Linked DNA regions of Ovis aries. The main gene of each other region encodes a partner of the protein of the gene in region 2 in a complex. Links are inferred from orthologs where the notes say so. Each region holds a gene or a part of one and is shown on either strand. Other genes may lie near its edges.

Region 1 (3,500 bases), on a different chromosome or scaffold from region 2:
CCTCTGATTTCTCCAGGACAGCCCTATTGCCTGTCCACTGGCTAACAGCTGCCCTGTTATTCTGCTTAGCTCCAGCCTCCTGGAATCAGACCAGAAAAAACTGTGGTGGCAGAAGGCACTGCCTATCTGATGAGACGGGAGAGGGAGAGAATCAGCCACTCACCATGACTACTTTCCAGAGCAGAAGCAGGACCTTCTTTATGGGGAAGTGGGGAGCCAGGCCACTGCAGAACTTGGTGACCATAGAGAAAAGCAGAAGGGCAAAAGGCTCCTGATTGTGCGTGGAGAAGCCTGGGAGGTATGGAGAGAGGCAAGCGAGAAAATGAAGATGAAGCCGCTGAAACCCAGTTCCTGTAACTCTGCTTCTGGACACACTGAGGAAGGCACTCACCTCCTTGCAAAGAATTTGAGGACTTGGTTCTTAGAAGGAGGCTTAGAGAGCCTCTTTGGGGAACCCCCCCACCCCACCCCCCGCAGCCACACCAAGGGCAGGATAAGAGAGGTCATGGAGGTAAAATGTCTGGGGGTGGATGTCAAACTAGAAGTTAACAGTAATAAAGATGCTTTCTGGCTGAGGAACTCAAACATTTTGTAGGTCACAATTCACTTTCCCACATCAACAAATGTATTTTTAAAAATCTCAAAGGCCTTCATATCTCATCCCTGACTGAGGGCAACACCAACTTATATTTTCAAGGTAAGGCACCTCATTTTTTCATGTGGGATTTGTGATGGAAGGGGAGAGGGATGACTTCCCACTTATAGGAATAAAGAAAACCAAAATACAGAGAAGATATATGAGTGGGCCTAGCTCCACTCAGAGAGGGGCATTCATGCCAGGCCGTCATGCCTGCCACATAGAATCTCTGTCCTCAAAGAGGGGATGTTAATTCTTAAAAGAAGACGACGACAAAAGAAAACTTGTCTGTCCCTCTTGAGCAGATGCTATGCTTCCCGTCCGCCCTAGGCTCCTTGCATGCCACTTCTTACTCAATTCGGTGCGGAAGGTCTCCCGGGCTGTCCTCCACCCACAGGAGTCTGTCTCTCGCTCCAGGCGGATATTTTCCACCATTAGGTACAGGACATTCAGCAGCACCCTGAGGTTACAGAAGGGTCACAAGAGGTTCCCATGGCAGTTACCAATCTGTTGTCTGAGACCTCAGGCGTGGTTTCTGTGGGGGCCCAGTCCAGCAGAATTAGGAACGTCTAGCAGTCTGGGAGCATCTGAAATCTGGGCAAAGGTTACTCATTGCTAATGACCCCTGTTCCAATCCCGTGGGCAGCCCTACTCACCTGAGTTCTGTGCTGTCAGCAATGGAGATGGCTGGCTTCCGAAGAGCACTACTACAGGCCTGGCTGTTGCTGCCACAGGGACGAGGGAGAAAACAGGAACTCATTAGGCCTCTTTACTCCCTGTATTCCACTCTTACCACATGCACAAACATGAGTACCTGCCATTCCCTGTCCATGTAGCTAAAGAAATTGGTTTAAGGTAGAGGAGCCCATAGAATTCTTCCTGCTATCTCAGCAAATCCTTATCTACAGTGAAGACAAGAAAGGGTAGGGTCTATGATATTCACTTGTCTTAAAATCCCCACCGTGTCTAGCACTGTGCTATACACAAAACAATGCTTGGTGAATAATAAACAGAATTAACACCATCTAAAACATCTGAGTGATAGGGTGAGACAATATGAAGTCTTAGTGGCTCAGTCATGTCTGACTCTGCGACCCAATGGACTGTAGACCACCAGACTCCTCTGTCCATGAGATTTCCCAGGCAAGAATACTGGAGTGGGTTGCCATTTCTTTTTCAGGGGATCTTCCTTACCCAAGGATCTAACCTGGGTCTCCTGCATTGTAGGTGGATTTTTTTTTTTTAACTGTCTGAGCCACCAGGGAGTCAACATGAGGGGGTCACTAGAGCGGGAGCAGTAGATAAGGCCACCTTTGAAGCTATAACCATGGGGGAAAGAACTGGGCACAGCCATGGGAACTGGTCCCATCCCTCTATGTCATGTTCTCAGGGAGAACAGTTTTCTTCATGGATTCCAGAGGGAGGCTGAGCTGAGGTGTCTGAATGAAAAAGCAACACAGGACAGGCCCCTGAAGCCCAGCGCTGAAGCTGTACATGGGGTAGAAGCTGCTGCTGAGCCCAACCTCAGGGAGGAGGACAGACTATCAGAGCGCAGGGCTGGTGGAGGGGAACTATCAGTGGGCTCTGGACTGAAATGTGAAAAAAGGCTCTACAGTGAGGGAACCAGCTGAGGACATGGGGCAACCTTCAAGGAAAGGGGTGGCCAGCCCTCCCCGAAGGCTTCTCACTCGATTTCCATGTGGAGTAGCTCCAGGAAGGCTGAGAAGGTCCCCATCTGATAGAGCAGGAAGCAGTTGTACCTGGACCAGTGGAGCACATCGACCTCTGAGTCACATTCCCCAAAAGTGCCTAAAGGACCAGACAGGGCCACAGAGGTTGAGGGGGAGGGGGTTATCCTGGTTCTTTCCACCTTGCCCCATGATCTTAAGACTATCTTCTATCACTCTACCCAACAACTAGGTGGACAAAGGTAGGGCAGGAGCTGCCCAGAACTTCCCAGAATGAGGCAGGTGAGAGAAGCAGTCTGCAGGGTGAGGTCCAATGTGCTCATAGGTGGGCAGTCTTAAGTGAGTTCCATGAGAAGGAAGTCCAGAGACAAGGATTCAAGTGCAAGTAGTTTATTTGGGAGTTGATCCCAGGAATTATCAGTAGAGAAGTGGGGAAGTGACATAGGGAAGAGAAGGCAGCCAAGAACTCAATTCCAAGTGAGGAGAAGCTCTGGAGAACAGTATAAAACAAACAACTTGGAATTATCCCACCCAAGAGGGCTGAGGCAGTTCACCCACTAACTCCTGGCAGGTGCTGAGGAATGCACTGTATAAGGGGAGTACATGAGTCCCCCAGTACTTCTGTGGGCTGCACAGAAAGCCCTCAAGCAAAAAGATGAAGGGACTGGCAGCTGGAACTTGGCCAAGGCACCAGACCCAAGAGACAGGGCTGGGCACTGCCTTGTTTGCTACAGTTTTTCCTTCCCCAGATACCTTTCTTTCCTCTCCATTTATGATTTTTTTTAGTTTTTTTTTTTTTAAGCTTCTAACTAATTGGTTCTGCCAGCAGCCCTGTTATTTATGATCTCAGGGCTTTCTTTTACTACTTCAGCTAAGCTATTTCATTTCTCTTTCCAGCACCTGGCTCACAGGTGCCTTCTGGGACGCTTTCATCAGTTAATCTCACCGAGCTCTGGTCATCTCAGTGACAAATCACTCACAGCATCCTCTCCTGTTGTGCTGGCTTGGACCATGTAAACGCCAGTGAGAAACAATGTAAATTGGTGGCATCCCCCCTTGCATCCCCTGTCAGAGCCAGGCCAAACCTGGAGAAAGAAAGCTCAGCTAGTGGTGGTACACTGTCAGCTCTGGTCACAGTGACCCTCTCTATAAACAATTACAGCCCAGGTTAAGGA
Region 2 (4,270 bases):
AGACAGACAAAATCCCTGCAAACAACTTACAGATAGAGCAGGAAAACAAAAGGGGGCTGTGAGAGAGAAAAAGTGGTCAGGTGAGGAGAGGACTGTTAAGCTGAGACTGTCCTACCATTGCCCACGAAACAGTGTAAGGGGATCTATGCTCACTTCAGGCCAGGCTTCACCTGGCTGCAGCTCTAGAATGGTAATGTAATGGATAAAGAAAACATCTGACATGTGGAGAAACCTTTGGGGACAAGGGCAGTTTTCCCGTGATTGCTGGTAACACTGAGAGATTTCTTACCTTTTAGGTTGCAGGATAAGGGAGCTTCAGGGGAGCAGTTCCAGCCCAGCTCAGCTGCATCGCTGAGGAAGGAGAAACCAGGAGACCCTCAATCAGTCAATTTCACACAATAGAACACAATTTCATCTCACCTACAAAAGTGAGATGGGAAGGATGTCATAGCAATGTATAACCACCTCTTCTTTCATAAATGTGTCCAGAAAGGTAAGACTAGAAGTGACAGAAGGTATTACCATGACAACCCCTTCCCTAGATCCACTCCATCCTGAGAGACAATCTTAAAATGTCCTTTACCTTGGTGGGTCTTAGGGTCACTGGAAGGGGGACTGCCCCCATTACCATAGTAACCAGGACTTGGCTTTGCTTGTTTCTCACCTCTCTGGGGATGGTCCAGGCCTTGTAACCATAGCAACTACTTCTCAGCAGAGCATCTCCTCTAAATAAAAACACCTGGTTGGTTTGGTCCACAGACCTCCCACGATGGGAAAGGGGAGATGGTTACCATGGTAATGCCAACTGTGTGGCTGGGGGGAGGGGCTGGGAAAGAGCTGCTTCCCTTAGCACTGTCCTTGGGGCTGGGGTCCTTTCTCCCTGAGGGCTGGGTGAGGTTGCCATAGTAACCGATGTGGGTAGGGGCATAAGGACCACCAGAGACTTGGGTTACCTTAGCAACCTCTTCCTGGTGCAGGGCCAGGAGAGAGTTGGAGCTCCATAACCACAAAGGTGGAAGGGAGAGGAGGCTAAGGGTGTTCCAGATTGGGAGGAGTTACCATGACAACCGACCTGGGCCAGAAATCAGGATGGGGCCATTGCTGAAACCACCCCTGGTGGTCGTTCTTTCCCTCAAAGAGTGACAGTGATTGTGGAGGAGAGTGCTATTTGGGTCTGGAGAGGGCTAGAGTCTTTCTTTGGGATGAAACGGGAGGAGGGGGGTAGAAAGCGGTCCCCCCCCCCAAGTACCGCGTTTCCCATGGGCGACCCTCGCGCGGAGCCTGGGTCGCGTTTGCCCTCCTCCGGGCGCGCGCCCCCTTTCCGCCCCGCGCCCCCTCCCACGCGCGCGCCTTCGGGGTCGACCCGGGTGGGCGAGGCGCGCGCCCGACTTCGTTCCCGTCACCCGCCCCCCCGGCCCCCGCCGAGCGCGCGCGCGAGGGCTGGCGCGGCCGCGCAGGCGCGCGAGGCACAGCGGGCGCGCGGGCCGGCCCCGGGGCCTCCATGATGGAGGAGCGAGCGGCCGCCGCCGTCGCCGCCGCCGCCTCCTCCTGCCGCCCGCTGGGCTCCGGCGCGGGCCCCGGCCCGACGGGGGCGGCCCTGGTCTCCGCCCCCGCCCCGGGGCCCGGCCCGGCTGCCAAGGGAGGCGGCGGCGGCGGAGGCAGCCCGGGTCCCGCAGCGGGACCGGAGCCCCTGAGCCTGCCCGGGATCCTACACTTTATCCAGCACGAGTGGGCGCGCTTCGAAGCGGAGAAGGCCCGCTGGGAGGCCGAGCGCGCCGAGCTGCAGGTGAGCACCGCCCCGGGACCCCCGGCCCCCGCCCGCCCGGCCCGGCCCAGCCTCACCCGCCGCCGCCGCCGCCGCCATCTTGGAGCAATGGCCGCCGGGACGGCCGGGGGGGCGGGCGGGGACGGCGACCGGCCGGGAGCCGGAGTGAGGGGCCGGCCGAGGGGCGGCCGGCGGCGGGAGGGCGGCCCGCGCGGTCGCCGGGAGGAGGCGGCGCGGGGCCCCCGGGCCTGCTGGAAGTGGGAGCGAGCCGGCCGGCGGAAAGGTTCCTGGGAGAGGGGCCGCGGAGCCCCGAGGCGCCCCGGGAGAGCTCCGCGAAGCGTTGGGAGGGGATGAGGGGTCTTGTGTACGAGTGAGCCGGCAGCTCCCAGGGTGCCGCACGAGGGACTCCCCATTCCGCCCCCGACCAGGTGCGCGCCGGAGGCGGAGCCCGATGGACCCCGGGCGGGGGAGAGGGGGCGTCGGGGGTGACTGCGATCAGCCGGGGGCGAGAGCGGGGCGGGGAGCCCGCGTGAGTCGAGAGAGGAAGTCAGGGAGCCCGGGACGCGTGTGTGTTTCGGAGCGTTTGGACTGGAGGGACTGAATGACGGTGGTGTTGAGGACTCCAAGGATGCGGAGCAAGGTCTCCGGGCGCGAGGTGGGGGGCGTGAAGGTGTGTGTCCTCTCCTCTGAGGAGGAAACTTTGGGGAGCCCTGGCAGGCCTGGCTTCCGCGTGCAGGGGAGGGGTCCCAGGGTTGGAAGCACGGATGGAGCCAGGACGTGAGCCAGGAGCCTGTGTTGGAAGAGAACGGAGAGCCGAAACTCTTTGGGGATGTGGGGGCCCCCGCCGTGAGATGGGAGGTGAGGTGTGTGGGATGTCAGATGGAGAACCCCCGAACTGGAGTATGGGAGGGTCAAACTTGGCCAGCTGTGGAGAGGGGCGGTAGGATGGAGACAGTGAAGAGGAATCGGGGAACCTGGGGCATGGCAAGGGGAGCCTTTTTGGAGAGCAGGAAGACAGCCAGAGGAAACATTTCAGAAGGATCCTGGGGTGGGAGGTGTTTGTGGAAGTTTCTGGGAAAAGATCCTATGGTTTGTGGAGTAGATTCAGGGAGGAAGGTGTCCTGAGATGTTTGGAAGAGGCTGAGGAGCTGGGCTGGGTTTTGTGACCTTGAGAACTGTGGGTCGATTAGCAGAGTGTCCTGAGGAGCCTGGGTATCCCAGTGGCGAGGATTTGGAGGGTTGGGGCATTGTTAGCAAAGTCAGTATCTCCTTCTAGCATCTGGTCTTTCCTCTTTTCAGTTGCTGTTTCGTATCTGGTTGAGGTGGGGACCCAAGTAAATAACCAGATTAGAATTTTCTCCCTAGGATGATTAAAGAGAGCATCCCACACTTCTCCCACCCTGAAAGGGATCTTCACTGTGTGGTGGCTGAGGCTTGGGGTTAGAGTGGGAGAGAAAGCCTTACCTAAGTACCCCTTGCTATGATATCCCATCTGTACGTCTTATTAGATCTTCTCAATACCCCCATTGTGAAGACAGGGCCAAGGACGTTGCCCTTATTTAGCAATTATAATAGCAGCTGCTGTTTATTGAGTTTGTATTATGGGTGAGACACTGTGTTAGACACAGCAGATACATGGTATCACTTAGTCCTTGCAACATTCTGGGAGGGTGAGGGATGTTATTCCCCTTCCCTTCCTTTTCAAAAATAAAAGAGGAAGTGGAGACTTTGAGAAGGTCAGTCGTATATCAAGGATCATAGCCTGTGGGTGGCAGGGGTGGTCTGTGGACTTTCAAGCCCATACCTGTCTGACGCCCAGGACAGATGACAGGCTTGTTTCAGGGAAGCTCAGTGACCTTCCCAGGGTCATCCAGGCGGCCATAGGAGACGAGGGTACCCTGCAGCACCCACCACGCCGCTGCCTCACCTTTGAGACCAGCAAGAGGAACGATGCGTCCAGGCTCCAGCGTCGTTTACTTTGTACCCCTTTGTTGTTATCGTTCTGTTACATTAGTAAATTTCAAGGATCTCAGAAGTGCCTGTGTGTGTAGATGTACACACACCAAGTGAGTGAGAAGGGAAAGAGCCACTCCCCGAAACCCTATTATTGCTATAAAAGTAATTCAGCTCTGTGTGTGTAATATATGAAATCCTATTCAGTTCAGTTCAGTCGCTCAGTCGTGTCTGACTCTTTGTGACCCCATGGACTGCAGCACGCCAGGCTTCCCTGCCCATCACCAGCTCCCGGAGTTTACTCAGACTCATGTCCCTCAAGTCGGTGATGCCATCCAGCCATCTCGTCCTCTGTCGTTGTCCCCTTCTCCTCCCGCCTTTTACATGCTATTACATGCATCATTTTGTGACTTATTTTCACCTACTTATATATCTTTGCGTTTTTTTCATATGAGCACACAGAGCGCTTATTATTTTTGGGAACTGCACCCCGCCGGTGTCTGCACCACAGCTCATTTAGTTTGTGTCCCCTTAATGGATTTTTTGGTAGTT
Region 3 (3,500 bases), on a different chromosome or scaffold from region 2:
AGCACAAACCCAAACAAGGAGTTACAGACACCGGGCTCAGGACCACACCCCTCCAGCTGGGCACGAGGCTGCATCTGGAAAGCTCAGAGCACCCGCCCCTGACATCATCCAGTGTTTATGAGACAAGTGCTACAACCACAGAGGTCTCTGGGCCCTGCCAGGAGAGCCCTGATTCACACAGTTCACCCGTAACTGATTTCTCGAGGGCAGAACCCCCTCCCTTCCCCAGTTCTGCAGCCAGCCCCGGCCCAAGGGCACTGGGCACAGACGCCTCTCACCTCTGCAGCCGCTGCACCAGCTGGGCCACCATGGTGTCCGAGATGCCGGGGCAGGCCTCCTCCGCCAGGTAGATGGCCCCGCGCAGTTCCTCGATGGAGCCCAGGTTTCCGCCGCACGCCTGGCTCTTCTCCTTCAGCTGCGAACACAAGACGCGGGGCCAGCGTGACTCCCCCGAGGATGAGAAACCACGGGCATCTGTGATATGATGTGTGGCCCATGCCTGCTCCGGCCATGGGGCCCCGGCAGCCTCAGCCCGGACCCCTCCCTTCTGGAGGCTGAGAGCTCCGGGCAGGCCCCAGTCTCTGCCCTCCCCAGGGGAGGGGGGCTTCTGTGCACCTCTTCATCCACTCCCTCTGCTTCCTTCTTCCATTTCAACCACCAGCAAAGCCGTCCCATGCCTACTCGGCTCTGGTCTGCAGCCGCAGCTGCAGCACAGGCTGGAAACTCGGAGCTCCCGGGGTTACCAGGCAGATGGCTAAGGCCTTGGGGTGCTGCCAGAACACTCGACTTCATGGAACCAGTGAAAAGTGAGTGGAAGCCGCTCAGTCATATCTGACTCTTCGCGACCCCATGGAAAACAGAGTCCATGGGATTCTCCGGGCCAGAATACTGGAGTGGGCAGCCTTTCCCTTCTCCAGGGGACCCTCCCGACCCAGAGATCACACCCAGATCTCCCGCACTGCAGGCAGATTCTTTACCAGCTGAGCCACCAGGAAGCCCATGGAACTGGGTGGCAGCCCTAAATCCTGGGGAGCCGGTGTCCCCTCAGCACCTCTGCCAGCCAGGAACTCCCCAAGGGGGATTCAAGGCCAAGCAGAGCCCAGGGATGAGCCTGTGGGTCCCTCCCACCCAGGATACCCCAGCCAGGACCGAGGAGCCCCGGCTAGAGTCTCCCTGGAGAGCTCTGATCCCGACCTGAACAGAAGGGGCTGTGTGGCTCACTCGGAATTACCTTAAAGGCGGCGTGAGCCAGGAGAACCCACAGGGTAGTGTCAGAGGAGACTATTTCCAACTCATCTCCTTGTCGGTACGAACCCGATGAAGAACAACATTCACCCTAAGACCCACTCTCGAAACACCTCTGAATGCTGTATGCACGCACCCATCTACAGGGAGCGGGGTCCCCCGAGAGGGCACCGGGATGCAGTGGCTGCAATCAGGGGCCCTGCGGGGTGAGGCCCCTATTGTGGGGGCTCCCCAGGAAACCTAAGAACCCCAGGCAATCTGATATCCCCTTAAAGTAAACATCTACTTTTCACATTGCCATCATTAGAAGGACTGATGTTGAAGCTGAAACTCCAATACTTTGGCTACCTGATGCAAAGAGCTGACTCACTGGAAAAGACCCTGATGCTAGGAAAGATTGAGGGCAGGAGGAGAAGGGGATGACAGAGGATGAGATGGTTGGATGGCATCACTGACTCAATGGACATGGGTTTGGGTGGACTCTGGGAGTTGGTGATGAACAGAGAGGCCTAGCGTGCTGTGGTTCATGGGGTCATAAAGAGTCAGACACGACTGAGCAACTGAACTGAACTGAACTGAACCCAAGTCTGGCAGAAGCAGAGGCGCCAGGTTGCACCCAACCAGGTTCTATAGAAAGCAGCACAACTGAAGTTCAAGCGGTCCTGGTCCATGTGTGGACTGGGGCCAGGCTGCTAAGTCCCTGTGAACGCTGCTGGCAGCCCCATGGCGACAGCTCCCAGGACAACGGGCTGGACAGAAGACGGCCCTGGGAAAGCAGGAGGCCCTCCTGGAAGGCAACCTGGCCCAGCCGGCCTCCAGGAGCACAGCCCACTGCGCCGGCAGCTCCGACCTCCCCAATTCCACAGGCAGCCCTGCCAGAGACATGAACGCCTGCGCCCCCTTCTTCCCCTCTCACCTGGCCCCCAACTGTCCACTGGGCATCTTACCTCTGCAAAGAGCGGAGAAATAATTGTAGATAAACACTGAGAGAAAGGCCTCTTTGGGATGTCTTTCATCTTGGGAGGAAAGAAAACGTAATGAGAAATGTTCTAACATCCATACTTGTCGGGGTTCACTGGACTCTGAGACACGGCCGCAGCGGCAGCTGCCTAGGGCTGCCTCACTGTGTTTTGCTTGACTACGGGGGCCACAGATATCATCCCTCGTGGAAAGGCATGGCGCACCGGGGAGCGGCGTCCTGTGTGGACGCGGGCAGGGCCAAAACTGCACCACTGGGCACACGTGGAGAGGGCCTAAAGACAGCGCTCACGCCAGGGCTGGCTGCCACAAGGGGCTGCCACAGGACAGCGCTGCCTTTTTCCTCTTCTGCAGCCTCCACCTGAACACGTAATGATGCCTGCTTCTCAGAGCGGGACTCTAGGGTCGCCAGGGGACAGCCACTGGTCCGCTCTGCCGAGGAGAAACTATGCCTCTGTGCTTCAAAACGATCCCTCAAAATATACAGTTTTTCATAAATGCCAACAGGCACAAAACCAAGTCATCGAAAATTACATTTGTCAGTCGCTCGGTCGTGTCCGACTCTTTGCGACAGTGGCCTGTGGACGACAGTAGCCCGCAGGCTCCTCTCTGTCCACGGGACTCTCCAGGCAAGAATACTGGAGTGGGTTGCCGTGCCCTCCTCCAGGGGATCTTCCCGACCCAGGGAATGAACCTGGGTCTCCCACGTGGCAGGCGGATTCTTTAACACCTAAGCCACCAGGGAAGTACCAAAAGCGATGTGTTTAAGATTCCTTAAAACTCAATCCTCAAATCGCGGTGCCTTGATGAGGAACGCCATTGTGCGCCAGAGGCAGAGTGTCGTCAAAAGCTCATAAGCTTGGGCATTTCCCAGCCACCCTTCCCCACCCCCTACAACCCAGTGTCAGAAACGCTGAGCTCACGGTGCGGCCACAGAGAGCAGCAGGAGCACTGCGAACCAGGCCAGCACCCAGACTCGCGGCCCAGCCTCGCCGGGTAGTCAGACAGAACAGAATCCCTTAATCTGCGGCTTCCTGACAGCAAAATTCCAACACAGGCGGCCCACAAGAACAGCAGGCTTCATGCCAAAGCGGCTCCGAAACGCCGCCAGTCCTGATGGCGAGGGCTAGTCTCTCCGCACGCACAGACTCACCTTGTTTCTTTCCAGATCTGATGGCTGGAGAGCTCCGTTCTCCAGACTCTTTGGATCCTTCTCCCGAATCGTGAAGATCCAGTCCCCCGAGTCGCTGCCTCCAGAAGCCTGGCCGTCTGTGTCC
Region 4 (3,500 bases), on a different chromosome or scaffold from region 2:
GAAATTGATAATGAATATCTATATGAGTATTAACTAATACAGTTTATCCCAGCAGAACATAAAAGGATAAAAAGACAGCATTAACTTTTGTGCAGGCCAAGAGCCTAATGGGTTATAAACACACCCTTCTGGCCTAGAGATAGAAAAGCAAATAAACAAAAAAACCCTTCCCTCTTATAAGCCCTGAAAATCAAAGATCTAACTAATACTGCCTTCCTCTGAAAAATATCAATATGGGGATATATTTTTAAATTTTAAAATAATTTAAACTCTAAGCTAGATTTTTCTAATTATTTATTGTTTATATTTCAATAGATACAAATCTTGACTCTAACTCTGGAACCCAAGAACTCACCAAAGAGTTTTCTGTGATGCAGAAATACCTCCATCTGCTGGAATTTTAGGTGTCTGTTAATTCTATAACCCTGGAAACTAAAAATCCAACTTTTTTGGTGGTGGGGTTAGATATTATTCTATTTAATTACATTTCAACAAGTATTTATCGTGTGCTGAAGATGTGCCATGCCCTGTGCTATGTGATGTGAAAACATGACAGGTTGAACTAAACTCCCTGATATCCAGAAGCTCACAATCTAGACGGAGGGAGAGTTGTGTAAATAACCACCATAACTCAATGGAACAAGTGACATACTTACAATACATATGCCATCAATTCTGAGGTTGAGATAGACTGGGCCATTGAGAGTAATGTGTGAAAGTCCAAGAAGAAAGCTCTTTCCTGACAAAGGTTATGTGTCAAGGCTCAGCTGCCTTTCTGCTCCTCCATCAACCCAAAAGTTCAGGTGTGGAAAAATGGTACAGCTGAGTACTGGATGCATTCAGGACACAGCTGCTAAATCTAAATCTATTTTGGCCCTACAAATGGAGCTAGATTCTGCCTGAAGGCCGAAGGCTGCCAAATCCTAATTTAAGACACTGCCTTTCAAAAAACAGAATTAAAAAAAGAAAGAAATACTCATAATGAAAGTACCTCATGATCCAGTGCACACATTACCTTTAAATATGATCCATAGTATTTCGTTACGTATGAGCTGTCACACTGACTCAAAACCGTTATTTCTTGCTGAATGTCTTCAATTTCATCTTCGGCTTCCTCGAGGTCTATGATTTTAATAGCAACCACTTGCTGGCTACGGTTATCAATTCCTTTGAAAACTTCTCCAAAGGAGCCTTTTCCAATGCGTTCTAATTTCGTGAAGAGCTCTTCTGGATCGGCTATATTATTCTGAGGGGGCAGGGAGAGAAGAAAGGGAAGAACACAAACATTTTGTATCAAAGTTTTAAATGAAGGAAAATAAATCATGTAAGACAATATCACATTTACCTAAAAGAAAGCATACAAATTCCCTTGACTCTCCACACGTGCTTTGTTAGAACAACTGTAACCCAAATGGGTAGTCCATATTCTACTGGATCACCCACATTAAATGGGCTTAGCTGATCCTGCTATCAGAAACGATCTCATACAGCAAATGTTGTCTCTGGTGCATGCCAAAGGGCCAGACTCTTTTTAGAATAAAGCAGTTGACTATATACAATTTACACATTAGTACAATGGTAGTGATAGTGAGAGAATACCTAACCTACTGTAGGTAGGGGCGTCATTAAAATTCTTACATTCCACCAGCAAAATATTACCTTTAAACTCTCCGACTTGGACAACCCAATCACAGCACCTGTACTTGAAAACCACCATGTAAACAACACACAACACAAAAGACCCAAGAATCTACAAGTCTTTTTTTCCTTCTTCTTTATTTGGGATCCTATCTGTATGTGTGGCTCAGATGGTAAAGAATCTGCCTGCCATGCAGGAGACCTGGGTTTAATTCCTGGTTCGGGAAGATCCCCTGGAGAATGGAATGGCTACCTACTTCAGTATTCTTGCCTGCAGCATCCCAGGGACAGAGAAGCCTGGTGGGCTATAGTCCATGGGGTCATACAGAGTAGGCTATATGACTGAGCATCTAACACTTTCAACTTTCATTTGTATGTAATGCTCTCATCAATGGCTGAAAATAAAATTCCAGAATAAGTCAATATTTTTCTACAGAAAAATCTGAATCAAGCATAACTTTTCAGGTTAACAAATGTATTGGCAAGACTTAGATTTTATAACTTCACTGTCCTTCCCTGACTCAGAAATATCCTTTATTTAATAGTGCACAATTTTTATTTCAAATTTGACTCCCATAGGATAACCCTTAACCTTACTTAAATTCATATTGCTGAATATATACTGCTGATCAAGTAGAAAAAAGGATTTCCAAACCTTATTTCCAAACCAAAAGTCATGTTATTAATTAATTTTACTTTTTCATGGAAGGGCATTTTATTTTAAATATAATAGTAGTGTGTACATGTCAATCTAATTTACACTTAACTGCCTTATTAGTCTACAACTAAAACTTTACTTTGAATTCCTTCAAAATATAGAAGAATGTTATATAGTTCTAACTTGTCTATATTTAATTTGTTAATTGCACCTAGATTATCTGTTCATTTATTACAATTTAACCTGGTCATCAATTTCAGGAGGCAAATTATAGTTATTAGCATGTTCCTCTAATATCTTTTTTATTAGACAAATAGATCATTAACATTAATTTTCTCTCAAGTTCATTGTACCATCATCACCAAACAGACACAGTAAACTGCCCGCTTTTGAGTAACTTAAAAACTTATGACTGATTTTAAAGAATTTCACCAATTTTTCTCTTTTCGACCTGCCTAAAAGACAGTTTACACATGACCTGCTTAATTTACAAGCTTACCCATTCTCCTTGATTGGACTTTTTCCATTTTTAAAAGACAATTTTCCATGTATGCCATAGTCTCTTTGGTATGGCAAGCTACTTGTTATCTCCACCCACCTCCAGTACTCACATGGGACAAATACATCTTCAGCTGCCCATATGGGCTTTAAAAATAGTTTAGACTTCTTTAAATTGCAAACGTTTCTTTAATGCCAACATTTTGTTATAAAATACCTTTTACAAAACTTGAGTACCATCACTATTGATTAACTTGGTGCTTAATTTCTTACCAAGACATTGTGATTACTATCACATAATAGCTAACCCACAAATTATTCTTCCTACTTTTGGTAATGGTTCCTTTCTTTCTAGTAGCTTGTGGCAAAAATACTCACCAAACAGCTCAGTGATAGGTTCATCACCTTATAGTTCCCTAAATTCAGTGAATTTGGAAAAATAAAAAGAGCAAATCTTTCAGGTTTCCTGATGTAACTACAAAATACTCTAAAAGTTATAAATATACCATTGATTAAAAAGTAGACAATACGGACTTTCTGATAACACATTCTGGACCAGGAGTATATTAACTGTATAATGAGATTTTTTTTGTTCTTGGAAGAAACAAAGATTAAATCCTAATCTTCCTAATTCATGTTTTAAAAGGATTTGACTGAAACAACCACCCCGAGGGAGAACACAGCTGTTCTCGCTTTCTATAATAAA
Region 5 (3,500 bases), on a different chromosome or scaffold from region 2:
TGTTCCTGATCCCCAAGAACAGCCCGCCCACGCTCGAGGGCCACCACAGCAAGCCCTTCAAGGAGTTTGTGGAGGCCTGCCTCAACAAGGACCCCCGATTTGTAAGCGCCTCCTGCCCCCAGCTCGTGAGTGGTGAGGGGGCCTGCATGGCTGAGTGTAGTTGGGGCCCCTGGCACTGGGCTCCAGAGGACAGTTGAGGGGGGTGTGTGCACGCGCATGTGCGTGTATGGAGTGGCGTGCTGGCTGTCTGTAGTGGGAGCTCAGAGGTGACAGGGCCAGAGGCCCCTCCGCTGTGCCAGGGCGGGCTCCTCTGTGCCCCCAGCCCAGGCCAGGAGGGTCTGGAGGGAGGCCCTTCCCCTGGGGAAGACAGTGTGGAGCCACCCAGCCCCCCTAGGCGCCCCTGCCACCTGGGGTCACCTAGGCTCAGCTGCCCGGCGCCTGGTGACCCCTGTGCGTCCCCGGCAGCGGCCCACCGCCAAGGAGCTCCTGAAGCACAAGTTCATCACGCGCTATACTAAGAAGACCTCTTTCCTCACGGAGCTCATCGACCGCTACAAGCGCTGGAGGTCGGAGGGCCATGGCGAGGAGTCCAGCTCCGAGGACTCCGACATGTAGGGCCTGCTCTTCCCGTGGGGCTGAGGCGGGCTCTCCAGGGCAGGGGTCGGCCTTTGGGGCTGTGAACCAGTGCACCTCAGGGCCTTCCTGACCCCCAGCCCCGTGTGACCTCCCACTGTCCCCTTCAGAGACGGAGACCCCGAGGATGGAGAGCAGGGGCCCATCTGGACGTTCCCCCCTACCATCCGGCCGAGCCCGCACGGCAAGCTGCACAAGGGGACGGCCCTGCATGGCCCCCAGAAGGTCGGCCTGGCCCCGGGCGCGCCGTAGGGAGCGGGCTGTGGGGGCACCTGCTGGGCACGCCCGCTCCCCCAGGGTGGCTCTTAGGAGACCAGACTTGGGGGGTGGCTTGCAGTTGCCCACGCCCCGCCATCTCTGCCCTGCTCACCTCCGCATGCTCTGCGTTTGTAGTCGGCAGAGCCCGTCAAGAGGCAGCCGAGGTCACAGTGCCTGTCCACGCTGGTCCGGCCCGTCTTTGGAGAGGTGAGGGCCAAGCTGGTGCGGCACAGGGTGTCTGGGTCCCTCGGGGCTCGTGAGGTTGGCCCCTTGGACCCGGCGTTTTGAGTGGAAGGACCAGAGATGGCCGGGATAAGCCGGCCTCAGGTGACCCTCAAGATCCCGAGCCTGCCGGGGTCTTCTGGGGCCCCGGGGGCTTTGAACATGAGCTGCTATCCTGGGACCTGTCACCTAGAACCACAGACACGGGGTGATCCTTCGTCTAGGGAGAGCCTGGGAGATTTCTGTCTTGGGTGTCAGGCCCTGGACAGGGAGCCCTTAAGGGCCGCTGCCCATTGGCCACGTGGCCCAGCGTCTGTGTCACTTGCTCAAGGGCAGTCAGCAGCATCCCCAGGGGTGAGTCACCAGCAGTGGGCTGTGGCCAGGTTCACACCCAGGGTGACGCTGGCCCTGGAGCCCGGGAGCAGGGGTGCATGTTGAGAGGAGGCAGCGGAGCCGCGCCAAGGGAGGTGGGGGTGGGCAGGCTCCCACCCTGGGCCCGCGGTGCCCGGGAGGGGAAGAGGGCAGGTGGGGAGGGGAGCGGGTGGAGGCGGGCTGTCCATGGGCACGGGGGCTCCTGGGGCCATGCAGCAGCGCTCTGGGGCTGGCACCTTTGGGGTGTGAGGTGGGTGGGAGGCGTGGCCACAGCCGGGCTGGCTGGGCCCCCTTCGGGTTCCTGTTCTGTGGGCTGGCCTGAGGTCAGGCTGCCGGGTGGGTGTCCAGAGAGGTGTGTGCCCTTTGCCCCTTTGTTCTGTGTGCTGGGCGAGCAGGCTGACCCGTCTCCAGCCCCCCGGCCAGGCTGCTTCCTCGTGGGGCCTCCACAGCCACGGGGTGTGAGTGGGCCCCTAGTCCCAGTGGCCAGGTTGGCGGGGCTGGCCGGGCCACTCACGCACATCTAGGCTGCGGGCTTCTGCGACTGGGGTTGGGAGAAGGCTCGTGGTTGGAGGAGGGGGGGCCAGGGCAGGCTGGGAGGCCCCGCCCGTCCTGGGAGCCCCTCCTCGGCGCTCGGGGGGACAGTGGGGCAGCGCTGCCTCCTGCTGCGCGTCACAGGTCGGGTGGGGCGGGGAGGCGCCCCCTTGGCCCCCAGTCAGGTGCCTGGGGGTGTCCGTGCAGCTTAAGGAGAAGCACAAGCGCAGCGGCGGGGGCGTGGGGGCGCTGGAGGAGCTGGAGAACGCCTTCAGCCTGGCCGAGGAGTCCTGCCCAGGCATCTCGGACAAGCTGATGGCCCACCTGGTGGAGCGGGTGCAGAGGTGAGGGCCTGGGGGCGGCGGGCTGCTGTGGGTCCTCCTCACCGGGCGGGGCTTGGCTCTGCGGGTCCTGTGTCCCCCGGCCTGGACCGCGCCCAGGGCGGAGCAGTGACCTGGCCTCTGGTCTGCAGGTTTTCCCACAGCAGAAACCACCTGACCTCAACCCGCTGAAGCCCTGTCTGCACCCGGGAGGAGAGTCTCCACCTGGAGCCGTGTGGTCGGGGCTGTGCTGACCAGGGCCCTGTGCCATCCTAGCCTCACCCCATGGGCCGTGCCCCCGCCCCGCAGAGGGCCGTGCCCTCCCACGCCCCCTCCCGGCTAGGCCAAGGCGGCGGAGGCGGCGGAGGCGGCGGGCTTGGTCTCCTTGAGGCCCCGAGGCCGGGCTGGCCCCTGGGGCTCCGCTCGCTGCCAGGCGGAGGGGCAGGGACTCGCGCGGGGCAGACCTGCCACCTCCCACCTGGCCCGCCCACCCTTGGCGGCCGTAGGTTCGCCTCTGCTGCTGGAGCAGGCACTGTGTCTTCTCATAAGGACTCGTGTTGGCCAGATTGTTGTTTTTTTAAGAAAATCAAACCTCCTTGCTTCCCTAGGTGTTCTGAGATTAAGGTGTTAGTTTTCACAGCATCTTGAGAGGCTCCTGCCACTTTCAATAAAGACCTGAACTGAGATGTGCTGGTGGCGGGCGGGGTGCTCAGGCTCCAAGGCCTCCTCACCCAAGGTGGGCACGAGCGGCCGCTGGCCGGAGAGCTGGCGGGGCAAGGCAGCACGTGGGACCAAGCATGAAGAAGCCTTTTATTCTCAGCCACTCGGCGCATGAGCACCGTACACTTCTTGGGATAAATTAGAGGGGCTTGCTGTCCACTTTTCAGAAGTGTGGGCCCGGGGGCACCAGAGAGGCTTCTGTGCCTAGACCCCTCACATCACCCAGCCTGACGGGAGGCCCGGCCCAGGAGGAGGAAGAGGAGGGCAGGTGGTTGAGGGCGGGGCAGCGCCAGCCTTGCCTGCACAGAGCGCGCCTGCTCCCCCTGCTGCCCTCCTGGCGCCTCGCGGGGCCCAGGGCAGCCCTCCCTGCCAGGTGGCGCCGGAGGCTCGCCTGCCACCAGTCTCCTGGGGGAACAAGCAGTCGTGGGGTGCGTGCTGGCCTTG
Region 6 (4,051 bases), on a different chromosome or scaffold from region 2:
GTTACAGCACATCGCTGCCTTCACTGTTCTGACGTTTTCTCACAATGTTTTGTCTTCTGGGTTAGTTCGGCTCTCCCTACCAAGCCCTCTCAGAGCCCCTTGCACTACTCCTTCATGGCACTTATCATAACTCATAATTATACATGCGCCTGTGCGTCTGTTTAGTGTCCATTCTTCTCACCCATGATTTCACAATGCTCAGCACAGTACTTGGCATGGGTGACTGAATGAAGAGCATATACTCAAATAACAACTTGTTGGATAAATGAACACTAAAGCTTCCATGTGTTCCATGCAATGAAATGATCATTCCACATGGTACTAAGGCTTTAGAAGCCTCGTTTCTTTCTGGCTAGTGGGCTATCAGGGAGAAGGCCATGGCACCCCACTCTAGTACTCCTGCCTAGAAAATCCCATGGACAGAGGAGCCTGGAAGGCTGCAGTCCATGGGATCGCTGAGGTCAGACACGACTGAGCGACTTCACTTTCACTTTTCACTTTCATGCATTGGAGAAGGAAATGGCAACCCACTCCAGTGTTCTTGCCTGGAGAATCCCAGGGACGGGGGAGCCTGGGCTTCCGTCTATGGGGTCACACAGAGTCGGACACGACTGAAGTGACTTAGCAAGTGGGCTATCAACAGCTCAGTACAAAATAAGTATTGACACCCTCAGTCTTCCTGCCTTTCTCTCAAATTTCAGCAAGAACTGACAGAGAAGGCAGCAGCTGAACAGAAATGGTTTCCCTCCCACACATAGGAGAGATTATGGCAAAGAATCTTTTTACTGCTGGAAATAAGTGAGTACTGAGAACACACCATCTGGGAAGCCTTGTTCTGGGAAAAGAACAGAGGTGAAGAAAAAGGTAGTCCTCAGCTTAATTACTATCTACTTGGGAAGACAATGACCACCCACAAAATGACATAACATACCCTCAAACATGAGTAACATAAATAACTCTACTTCTTATTCAGAGGCAACAGGCTGCACAGTTTCATAAGTTCCTGAGCTTCAGTTTCTTCATTTATGTAATGAGGATGACAAAAATCTATCTTGAAGGTTTTTTAAGGACTAATTAAAACGATGCCGCACAGTGGGCTCTCGTCAAATACCTGCCTCCCTGTTCTGCAGGCACGCCTCTGGCTCCCAGCCTACTGATTTCAGCTTTGACTCAAAAGAGAGCTGTATCAGTATTTCTAAGAAAATAGATTCTGACAGGTCTCTCAGCTTAAATGTGTTCACTGAATGACCTTCCATGTGTTGAATCTATATAGAAATTAAAGGGTAGAAAGTACATTTAATAGAAACACTTAGGAAAATTGTTAACTACTGAACAACTACGATGCCTCTGATGATGAAACTGGATTCATCCCTACCACTTTTAAAATCCTCCATACTTGAAAAATTATTAAGCAGTCACCACTGATGTGCAATCAGCCCATCATGCAAGGGCTACTAAAAGGTCGGTTTCATTGCTTTTTCAAATAATTCACTTCAAGCTCAAAGTGCATCTGACTGGAACTTGTCAAATTTTGATGTTTGACCAGAGGTTTGTTCTTGCCAACAAAACCAAGAGCTTGAGAGGTACTGATTTCAGGTGTCTAAAGATAGCATCATCACTCAGGTATGACCTGATACATTATATCTGGACAAGAAAAAATGCCCTCTCATTAATAAGCATCTGACTGTTAATCAGCCTCAGGGTTGTCTCAGGTGAAAGAAATTTCCTAGTAAGTGCTCTGGGAACATGCTGATTAAGAAGCCCTAAAACGCTGCTACGTGTGTGTCTTCATTCATGAATTCTACAATGGAATGCAGTGGGAGTAATTCTTCAACTCGGGGTGAGGTGACTAGTCAGCTCCAGACTACGGTGTCTCCGGAATGGGAGGAACAGCCCACTAAACAAGAGAAGAGAGATGTTGAGCCTCAACGCCTGTTTAATTTATTTCTGATCTTTAACAGTTGAGCATCGGGTGGACTGGGCACACCAACCACCGGGCACTGTCTAACCGTGGCCTGAATCTGCAGTGGCTAAGCTCAGAGCAGAACAAGACTGCTCCCCTTTCCAACCATCGCGACCTACAGGCGCGTAGTATTGATACTATTAGTGCTAATTAATTAGCTCAGTCCTTCTCGGAGGTGCCTTCCCAACCCTCGCCAGTCCTTTCCCAGCCCACACATGCCCGCCACCGTGCGCCGCGGAACTCACAGGACCAGAAGCTGGAGATGATTAGGGGGTCTGGGGTGTAGCCGCCCCGCCCTCTAGAGCGCACGCAGGTCACTGACTCTTCACCCGAGAAATGGGGCACGGGGCGGACTTCCCAGGGGCTGGAGCCCGGAGACCGCGCCCACAGCCCGGACCTCAGAAAAGCCAATACGGGCTCCGGGAGGTTCTCCCGGTCGGCAGAGCTCGGGTCGGGGACCCCAGCTTCACGCCTCCGACTCCCGGGGATGTCAGCCTTGCTTCCTGCTCCTTTCGCTGTAAATGACAACTCCCCTGCCGAACCCTCCAGGAAACCCAGCCTGGACCCGAAAGTGGCCCAGAAATGGGGCCGGGGTCCACCGCCGCCGCCCGCCTGGTGCTAGCCTCGCCCCCCGAAGCTCCTGACCTCCGAGTCTTTTCGCTGGTTGCGGTTGAACTCTCGGGCTTTGCCACCAGGCAGGAGACCTCCGGCGGTCCGCGGTGCCCCAGGTGGAGGCTGCGCGGTTGCAGGCGGCGGAGGTGGCGGCGGCTGAGGCTGCTTGTTGTTCATGATCAGCGGGCCGGGAGTGCCGGCTACCGGCTCCATCTTGGCGGCTCCACACCCCCGGCTCAATTCACTGACTATGGCTGTGATGCAACTCTCGCGTGATTTCGTCCCGGAACGCGCCCTGGTCGCCATATTAAGTGTGGCGGCACATGCCAGCGCCATCTTGACTGTCCAACACCTCGCGAGATTTTCTCTGTTTGTGAAATCTTACCCTTCTAGTTTGTGTTTCGGTTCCAGTTTAGAGATCGCAGTTTTATCTGCAAAACCTCCCTTAGCCCCTCAGCCAGTTTAGTGGAACCCCCCTCTTTCCTTTAACATCGCTTTGCTCTTGTTACTTTCACAGATCTGTCCAAAGCTTGCGGGATATTGTAGAGAACAAAATGGACACGATCCCAGCCTTCATGGAGATTACGTTCACGTGGGGGAGACGTGGGAAAGGAATGAGTAAATCAATGAAACAATTACAGTTACGACATTCTTTTAATCATTCATTCAACAAACATTTAATGAATGTCTCTTAGACTAAAGGCAGTGCAAGAGAATGGGGAACAAAATCAAGTTCCTACACTAATGAAAAAAGTGAAATGATCTGTAACATAGAGCCTGTGGGTGAGCCAGACAATGCGCTCACAAATAAGTGCTGAGAAGAAACGAAAGAAACTGTAAGGCATTGGAAGGTGACAGTGATCGAGGTACAGCTGGGCTATGTTAGGTAGGCTGCTTAGGGAAGGAGGGGCTGAGAGTGATTTTGAATGAGTTCTGAAAGAAGTGAGGGAGAGCCATGCCAATATCCATGGAGGTAACATAGAGGGACCAGCTAACTGCAGAGCCTCCTAGGTGGCTTGGCAGGAACTGAGTGAGCCAGGAGAAGAACAGTAGGAGATGAGGGCCGTGTAAATGCAGGGGCCAGATAAATATAGGGCCTAGAAAAGCATAGAAAGTACTCTGGATTTTATTTTAAGTAAAATGGAAAACCATCAGAAAGTGCTGACCTGCTGCTGCTTTTGGAGAAAGCATTGGGGTGTTGCAAGAGTAGGTGAGGGTGGACAGGTTCAGAGACTATATAGATGGAAATGATGGTGTCTTACGCCAGGTTGGAACATTGGGTTGATGTGGTATTTCTGTATTGTGTAGGTAGATTTGCTGAAAGACTGGAATCCTATCAGCAGGATAGGAAGGAATAAAGGATGAGTCCTAAATTTTTGGCTTGAGCAGCTGGGTGGGTGGTTGTATTGCTTATTAAAATAGAGAAGTCAGAGGAAAATAGGTTTGGAGGAAGATCAAGATGTCTGTTTTGGACAT

The links.
Region 1: STRN4 (region 2) and STRIP2 share a complex: the UniProt entries of both Homo sapiens proteins name them as parts of the core of STRIPAK complex. The link is inferred for Ovis aries from reciprocal best matches to the Homo sapiens genes STRN4 and STRIP2.
Region 3: STRN4 (region 2) and STK24 share a complex: the UniProt entries of both Homo sapiens proteins name them as parts of the core of STRIPAK complex. The link is inferred for Ovis aries from reciprocal best matches to the Homo sapiens genes STRN4 and STK24.
Region 4: STRN4 (region 2) and STK26 share a complex: the UniProt entries of both Homo sapiens proteins name them as parts of the core of STRIPAK complex. The link is inferred for Ovis aries from reciprocal best matches to the Homo sapiens genes STRN4 and STK26.
Region 5: STRN4 (region 2) and STK25 share a complex: the UniProt entries of both Homo sapiens proteins name them as parts of the core of STRIPAK complex. The link is inferred for Ovis aries from reciprocal best matches to the Homo sapiens genes STRN4 and STK25.
Region 6: STRN4 (region 2) and STRIP1 share a complex: the UniProt entries of both Homo sapiens proteins name them as parts of the core of STRIPAK complex. The link is inferred for Ovis aries from reciprocal best matches to the Homo sapiens genes STRN4 and STRIP1.

What each region holds. Positions count from the first base shown.
Region 1 is NC_056057.1:95,040,512-95,044,011, reverse strand, and holds part of STRIP2 (striatin-interacting protein 2), read right to left. Parts: intron 2,447-3,500; coding exon 2,326-2,446; intron 1,363-2,325; coding exon 1,299-1,362; coding exon of another isoform or gene 1,294-1,298; intron 1,103-1,293; coding exon 991-1,102; intron 292-990; coding exon 164-291; intron 1-163. UniProt on the Homo sapiens protein: Plays a role in the regulation of cell morphology and cytoskeletal organization. Required in the control of cell shape. Calmodulin-binding scaffolding protein which is the center of the striatin-interacting phosphatase and kinase (STRIPAK) complexes.
Region 2 is NC_056067.1:53,621,638-53,625,907, reverse strand, and holds the start of STRN4 (striatin-4), read left to right. Parts: upstream 1-1,470; 5' UTR 1,471-1,501; coding exon 1,502-1,786; intron 1,787-1,842; exon of another isoform or gene 1,843-1,887; intron 1,888-1,932; exon of another isoform or gene 1,933-2,193; intron 2,194-2,283; exon of another isoform or gene 2,284-4,270. UniProt on the Homo sapiens protein: Calmodulin-binding scaffolding protein which is the center of the striatin-interacting phosphatase and kinase (STRIPAK) complexes.
Region 3 is NC_056063.1:74,803,233-74,806,732, forward strand, and holds part of STK24 (serine/threonine-protein kinase 24), read right to left. Parts: coding exon 3,377-3,500; intron 2,262-3,376; coding exon 2,193-2,261; intron 416-2,192; coding exon 279-415; intron 1-278. UniProt on the Homo sapiens protein: Serine/threonine-protein kinase that acts on both serine and threonine residues and promotes apoptosis in response to stress stimuli and caspase activation.
Region 4 is NC_056080.1:102,807,049-102,810,548, forward strand, and holds part of STK26 (serine/threonine-protein kinase 26), read right to left. Parts: intron 1,247-3,500; coding exon 1,016-1,246; intron 1-1,015. UniProt on the Homo sapiens protein: Serine/threonine-protein kinase that acts as a mediator of cell growth. Modulates apoptosis. In association with STK24 negatively regulates Golgi reorientation in polarized cell migration upon RHO activation.
Region 5 is NC_056054.1:373,827-377,326, forward strand, and holds the end of STK25 (serine/threonine-protein kinase 25), read left to right. Parts: coding exon 1-101; intron 102-465; coding exon 466-611; intron 612-743; coding exon 744-858; intron 859-1,026; coding exon 1,027-1,098; intron 1,099-2,223; coding exon 2,224-2,360; intron 2,361-2,488; coding exon 2,489-2,528; 3' UTR 2,529-3,020; downstream 3,021-3,500. UniProt on the Homo sapiens protein: Oxidant stress-activated serine/threonine kinase that may play a role in the response to environmental stress.
Region 6 is NC_056054.1:87,345,647-87,349,697, reverse strand, and holds the start of STRIP1 (striatin-interacting protein 1), read right to left. Parts: upstream 2,801-4,051; 5' UTR 2,789-2,800; coding exon 2,609-2,788; intron 1-2,608. UniProt on the Homo sapiens protein: Plays a role in the regulation of cell morphology and cytoskeletal organization. Required in the cortical actin filament dynamics and cell shape. Part of the striatin-interacting phosphatase and kinase (STRIPAK) complexes.